Oryzias latipes: one gene and its partner. The protein of the gene in region 1 binds, or shares a complex with, the protein of each later gene. Links are inferred from orthologs where the notes say so. Each region holds a gene or a part of one and is shown on either strand. Other genes may lie near its edges.

Evidence for each region.
Region 2: cep290 (region 1) and tmem231 share a complex: the UniProt entries of both Homo sapiens proteins name them as parts of the tectonic-like complex. The link is inferred for Oryzias latipes from reciprocal best matches to the Homo sapiens genes CEP290 and TMEM231.

Annotation. Positions count from the first base shown.
Region 1 is NC_019864.2:2,329,201-2,332,857, forward strand, and holds part of cep290 (centrosomal protein of 290 kDa), read right to left. Parts: intron 2,529-3,657; coding exon 2,451-2,528; intron 2,255-2,450; coding exon 2,185-2,254; intron 2,101-2,184; coding exon 2,054-2,100; intron 1,457-2,053; coding exon 1,325-1,456; intron 937-1,324; coding exon 883-936; intron 746-882; coding exon 725-745; intron 431-724; coding exon 284-430; intron 1-283. UniProt on the Homo sapiens protein: Involved in early and late steps in cilia formation. Its association with CCP110 is required for inhibition of primary cilia formation by CCP110.
Region 2 is NC_019864.2:27,564,827-27,568,483, forward strand, and holds part of tmem231 (transmembrane protein 231), read left to right. Parts: intron 1-1,193; coding exon 1,194-1,337; intron 1,338-1,495; coding exon 1,496-1,577; intron 1,578-3,594; coding exon 3,595-3,657. UniProt on the Homo sapiens protein: Transmembrane component of the tectonic-like complex, a complex localized at the transition zone of primary cilia and acting as a barrier that prevents diffusion of transmembrane proteins between the cilia and plasma membranes.

The sequences.
Region 1 (3,657 bases):
GTCGACATTCGCAAATCTAGTTAGCATCAAAGAATACTGTTTTTTTTCCCAAAAACCTTTGGGAAATTTCTAGGACATTGGCAAATGCAAAACGCACTATATAGTGAGTAGTAAAGGAATTTCGGACACTACCCATATTTTTCTGAGGATTGCATGAGACACTGGCCTACACAGCGACCCAGACTTCACACTGAACGACCCAAGTGGGTTTTCCTGAGGTTTCTGTCTAAACCACAGACTTGCTGAAGGCACCACATGCTACAACCAAAACATTTCCAAGAACCTGAAGGTCCTCCAAGCATTGGTAAAGCTGGCGGTTGGCCAAGTTGAGCTTCCTCTGAGTCTCATCGGCCTCATCTCTGGATGGTAGCAGAACTCTCTGGTCCAGCTCTCTACGATAGAAATCCACATCCTGCTGCAGTTGCTCGTTCTGTTGTGGCACAGGAAGGAGGGAATTGATTTCAGGAAAAAGAGAGGAATGTCCTACAATTATAAACTAATGCTAAATAGCTATCTTTTCCACATTTCACTATTTGGATAGCGTTGTCTTTTGGACAGCCTGTACATGTCATGGTACACCTTCAACCTCATGGATTGCAGGACTGCCAACTTATTTATGCTAATGGAAAGGTAGTGTCAAAGCAAATACTGGAAGATTAAACACTAGCAAACTCATGCTAACCAAAACATTGTTTTACAACACATCACTCCCTAGAAGTCTTACCTTTTTCTTATGTTTTTTCAACTATACCGTGAAGCAGAAACCCAGAAGACAGGATGAGCAAAGACGGAGGATTTGAGTGAAGGTTTTAGGTGAAGTCATGACAAAGTATGAAGGGGATAAATCGTTATCTGAGCAATGTATTTCTGCTTCTGACATACCTCTCTCTTCAGCTTCTTCACCTCGTCTTCAGCTTCCTCTAATCTCTTCGTCAACTACGAAACCAAAAGCAAGGTTTAATACCAAATCCTTCATTTGCATTTATAGTTCAAATATTTGTCAATTTCTACACAATAAAATCTTTTCTGCAAGTTTAAATAAAGCTAAAAATATTTACCCATTAATAGAATATCAATTGGAAAAGTCGTATCAACAATTTCTTTTGGAGAAAGGCCAAAACAACATTTATAAGCTGATCATTTCAAAATGTGACTATCATTGGATTCAGAAAAGGTCACTGCCACATGTCAGGATAGAAGAATGTATTTAAAGGGTTCACCAGTGTAAAGTCCCATTTTAAACATTACAGAGGATCTTTAAAAGCTCAACTCTTCAGCCTGACTTCTATACGGAGCATTTGCACAATGGGTGGCACACGCTTACCTCTTGATTGGTTTTCTTTTCCTTTCCCATGCCTTTGTTTAACTGGGTCAAGTCCTTCTCTCGTTCCTCCAGCTGGGCCTCGAGCAGCCGAATCTCCTCTCTAAGAAAGCGAGCATCTGGCCCAGTGCCGAGCTGCTTTGCCATGTGGACCGGAAACAAGACAAACACAATCCCAAACAACTCCCACTGGGAAATCTTTTAGTCTTTCATCACCTCCATCTGTTTACAGGCCTAACATACAAGCTTGCCAACATTCTTGTTCCCTTTAACAGAGATTGACAATTATGTTTTAACATTTGGAGGATGACTGTGCATGCCATAGTCATTTAAAACAATCTAAACCAAAACACCAATCAAGTTAAAACAAGAAATGAATGTGCTGTGCGTGCATGGAATTAAATGTAATCTTCTTAGGTGCTGTGTCTCTGTGGTCACTACAGCCAATCCTGTGGTGGCCAGGGTTGCACTCTGTGATTGGCTCAAAGAATTGGCTCTGCTGCCAGAAGTAAATAGGCATGAAAAGTGATTTCACGTCACATGCATGAATGACGTGTTTTTATTTCTTTTATTTTGCCTTATTAAATTTGCAACAGTGGCTGCAGTCATGCTTGCAATTACAAAAAGAACATTTTAGTAGTTCTTGGAAGAACACAGAGCACTCTGCAGCAATGCACACATGAAGTGCAGAGGAACTAATGGACCAAACTAAACCTCAAAAGCCTTACTTACCTTTAGATCTTGTTCCAGCCTGGATATCTTTGCGAGGAATTCCTTCTCTAAGGGATACAGAAATTAAAAGCTGTGTTGTTTGTGTTTTTTAAGCTAAAAAGAAAGCAAGGTAGGTGAAACCGTGCACTGACCAGTTTTGGCATGTTGCATGCCGATCTCATTTATGAAACTATCACTGAGAGCAACTTCCCGATCTTTCCTCTAAAGGGAAAAGAGAGTTGACTTAAAAATGACAGGCACGTATCAATAATGGAGTCAGCATGTGTCCAAACAAACATCTGCATCAAGACTGTGTCTTGCACATAGAATCTTCTGTCTTCATAGAAGACATGCTGGTGGGGCAGTTAACAGATGCTCAATGTAGAGATCAAAGTGTAGAAATAATAAAACCTGACACCTTCAAGAGGGCCTGACACACCCTGAGGATGTGAATAATGTCCTCTGGAGCTTTATCCTTCACCTCCCATTCTTCTGTCTGTGTGGAGAAAAAATGGTTCAAATGGCAGAACTGCCAACAGCAGAGTCATTTTACATCATAATAAAACAAAAGTCCAAACTTAAACAGCGAGAGGTCAAACCAAGAGTGTCTGTTTATTTACAGCCTATAGGATTATTGCTACATACACACATTTTTCCCCAACTCATAGCAGTTTAAAGACACTGTTTATATTTTAAAGCTGAATCAGCAGCAGTGGGCTGCTATGTGAGATCTCCAGTGAGAGCAGGCAGAATCAAAGCTGCTGAGTGGGTACATTCTGCTGACTTAGCCAAACAGCTAAAGGTTGTCTTCATCCATCTATCCCACTCATCCGGGACCAGGTCGCAGGGGCAGAAGCCTTAGCAAAGGTACCCAGACTTCCCTCTCACAGGTCACTTCCTCCAGTTCCTCTGGGGGGATTCCAAGGTGTTCCCAGACCAGTCTCTTCAGCCTGTCCTGGGTCTTCCCTGGGGTCTCTGCCCAGTGGGACCTTCCCAGGGAAGTGTCCAGGAGGCATCCAGACCAGATGCCTGAGCCACCTCAACTGGCTCCTCTGGATGTGGGGGAGCCGCAGTTCTACTCCCAGCTCTCTCTGGGTGACATGCAGCCACCATGCAGAGGAAGATCCTTTCAGGCGGTTGCATTAAGGGCCTTGTTTTTTCGTTCATGACCCAGAGTTCATGGCCATAGGTGAGTATTGGAACAAAGATTGATCGATAACAAGAGAGATTCGCTTTTCAACTCAATAAAAAACCGACCATTGACTGAATAAGAGAACTGGGCAGAGTCAGTGTGACGTCACCCTTAGAAAATGGTTTAATTCCGGCTCCAACCTAATGCATTTAATTAAGTTACCATTTTTCACAATACGGTTCCACCAAGTCGGAGTCAGACGACGTCTGCAAGCAGTAGATTGAATGGTCCGAGTCAATCTGAGTCAATGTCTCTATGGCAACCACTCTCACCAATTAGGAGTACCGGTAAGCTTGTTAGAAGTCCATTCCCCTTTCACTAAAAGTGGGCTCGGGAAAGTCTGTCGATCATACATTTCCAACATTCGAGGTAGGGGCCAGTGGGCACCACATGCTTTTATTGAGGCATCTGATTGGTCTGTTTATTATGAAAA
Region 2 (3,657 bases), about 25 Mb from region 1:
CGGCCTCCGCACCAGCACGCTAATGCATGACTCAGATATGACGTGAAGAGTCCTCAACGTTTCATAACTGCCACCATAGCCTGCAGCTCTGCTCCGGGACCTCTTAAACCAATCGCACCTTTCCTTCTGATTGTCTGCCAAGTAGGCAAGGCAAGGCAAGTTTATTTGTATAGCACAATTCGTACACAAAGTAATTCAAGGTGCTTCACAAAACAGAAAAATGCATTAAAATCACAATACATCATTGAAATAATCAACGTAAAATTTACTTTAAAAGAAAAGAAAAAATTTGAAAAATGATTTAAAAATAAAGGAAGGAAAGGAAAGAAAAGTGCAGATAGGACCTTTCAGTCATATACACGGCTAAACAGAAATGTTTTAAGTCTAGATTTGAACATGAACACAGAAGAGGCCTGTCTTACGACTTCAGGGAGGCTGTTCCAGATTTTAGCTGCAGAATATTGAAACGCTGATTCCCCTTGTTTAGTTCTGACTCTGGGAATCAACAGGAGGCCGGCCCCTGAGGTCCTCAGAGTACGAGATGGTTCATATGGCACTAACATGTCAGAGATGTACTTTGGTGCTCGGCCATGGAGAGACTTGTACACAAGCAGAGCTGCTTTGAAGTCTGTTCTTTTTGGTACAGGGAGCCAGTGCAGAGACCTGAGCACAGGACTAATGTGATCATACTTCCTGGTTCTGGTCAGGACTCGAGCAGCAGCATTCTGGATGTACTGAAGCTGTTTTACAGCTCGTTTGGAGAGGCCGGTGAGCAGGCCGTTACAGTAGTCTAACCTACTGGAGACAAATGCATGAATAAGTATCTCCAGGTCTGGTTTTGACACTATGTTTTAATATTTATAAAGTATTTACTTTATAAATATTTGTAGTTATTGAAGAAGGTTAAAGGATGATTGCCGTACACCAGAATTTTTCTTTGGAATCTCTCAGGTCAGGGTGATTATAGAGAAAGGTTGGGGGTGTGAGGTTTGGAGGAAACAGATCAAAGCTGGGAGCAATTTAAATAACCCTCTACAGTATTTATGAGTAGCTGCCATGACAACTTAAAATTACAAGAATGCATTTACCCCCAGGTAAATGCAATTGTGTTCCTGGGAGGCATTCGGTAGTTTGTACTGGCTTGTAAATGTTCCAGCTAAAGAACATCTCAGTGATGTGCTTTTCTTTTTCAGCGAATGTCCACAGTCGTGATGCAGAGTCTGGCTTTCGTGCAGCTCGCCTCTCCTGTCCCTGGAGCCAAACTCTTTATTAGCGGGGACCTGAGGCTGCAGCAGAGGACCCCCCTGCCCCACAGAGGGCTCTACAATATCTATAATGTGAGAGGAAACTGACAAAGTGCGATTTTGAAAAGAAAACACGTCTCCCACCATTTCACTTCTTCTGTATTTTTTTTGCGTTCTCCATCATCTAGACATGGAAATCCGATCTGCATCTGCTCAGTTGTTTTTATTTATTTTTCTTCTTTGACGTTTAGGTGTCGGTGATAGATGGCTCCAGCCCCTTTGCCAGTGCGTACGACCTTGAGAACATAGTCAGGAGCTACCAAGCCAGAAACTGTAAGTTGACTGAAGATGGGTTGGGTTTGAGTCATGGGCAAGAGTGTAAGTAAAGTGCTTCACAATAGTAAAAGAGAACATAAAATCATAGGGGAAATAGGAGCAATCATCTCATTCATAGGACAGACTCAAATAAAGATTTAGTCGCAGTAAAAAAAACAATTTATCTACAGTATGCAGTTGTTTTTCTGTGCAAGGCTGCAAAAACTCAAAGTAAAACTTTAATATGAATTCTACGTTTAACTGTGAAGAGGACAGTAGAGGAGTTCTGTGAGCTCGTTTATTGGCACCTGTAAAAAGCCTCGCCGCAGAATTTTTAATGAGGTGAACACATTTTAACCCTTGTGCTATCTTAGATGACCCCACCCTTACATTGACAAAGGTGGATAAAAGTGGAAAGATTTCATGTAATCCATGGACACCAGTGAAGATCACAAATCATTAAAGAAAAAAGGTTCAGAGCACTGTCTAGTGGGTCTAGATGACCCAACTCCCAATGTTAAAGTGCATAGGATAGCAAAAGGGTTACAGGGCTTTTAATAAAACAAGTAGTTAGTCTAAAGTCAGGATAAAAAGGTTTTTCATTCTGTGCCGCATTTCTCAGGTGATAGAAGCCTTTGACTGTATAAGAGAACTGAACTTAGCACACACACACCGTGTTCCAAACAGGAAGTAGCCGCTGGTACCAATTAGCCAAAATCCCACAGACTTCTATAGAGAAATAAACAGCGGTTACTCAGTCATTCTATTGGTCAGGACAACCATTCTTACTCTGATACCTTTTTTAACCTCTTCTAGATAATCCTAATTTTTTTCATATTTTTTCTTTATCGCAAGTTACTCAAGTAATAAACTGGCCAATCAGATGCCTCAATGGAAAGAATGTGGTGCCCGCGGCCCCCACCTCAATGTTTAATTGACAGATTCTCCCCAGCCCGCTATCAGCGGAAGGGGTGTGGACTTCGAACAAGCTTGCTCCTGACTGATGACAGTAGTTGCCCCAGAAACGAGACTGAGACCAACTCGGACCGGTCACTGTCGTTTGGCTCCAACATGGCGACTAGGTTTAAAATGGAGACCGAATTGGCTTCATTTAATTGGAGCTGGAAGTAAGGCATTTTCTATTGGTGATGTCACACCCGCTCTGTCCAGTTCCCTTTATACGGTCAATGATAGAAACAAATTTTGGCGGTTTGTTATGTTCCAGAAACATGAATTTGTGAAACGTCACCCCGAGGTCTCTGAGACTTAACAGAGGAGCTCAGAGAGTCCATGAGTTGTTTGATCGGACAGATTTTGTTTTCAGGGACAAACATTTGCTCATCTGTCTTCTGACCATTCCAGTATAAATGAGTTACTGACCATCCACGATTTAATGCTAGTTAAACAAGCAAAGAAGTTAGACAAACTGTCGTCCTTTTTTTCAGGGAAGGAGCAATATAGCTGGATGTCGTTCATACAAAAATAATAAGAAAGGTGGCTAAGTTTGCTAATTAGTTTCCCAAGAGGAATCATATTTAAAATGAATATAATAGGACCTAGGACAGAACCCTGGGGAATGCCATAAGATATAATTCCCATCTCAGAGGTTAATGAACCTACAACGACATTAAAAGGTAGGAGGCAAGCCATTTAAAAAAAACCAGAAAGACCATCATGAAGGCAAGCAATGATGATGGAATGATATCCAGTATCAAATGCAGATTTCAGGTCCAGAAGCACTACAACAGTGAAGTGGGCAGAATGAGCCGCTGTGAGACCTTTAGGAGAGCTGTTTCAGTAGAATAGTTCTACTTTCTCAGGCATGCTGGGATTCTGTCTATTTGCAAGAAGGTTTACATGTCACCCGATTTGCCCACATGGTGTTTGCATGTTCTTCCTTTGCGTGTTCTTGGTGATCATGAGTTTGCCTCACGTGTGACATGAGTTCTTCGGCTGAACCACAACACTGAACAGGATGGAGCAGGTAAAGACAAGGAAGAAATGGGGATTTTATTTTTCTTTCTTTCTGCTTTAGTAACAACAGTACTGTCGTGTCCAATGCCGGTCTGGACTGTGGGCCCAGCTGCTGGTTCTCCCT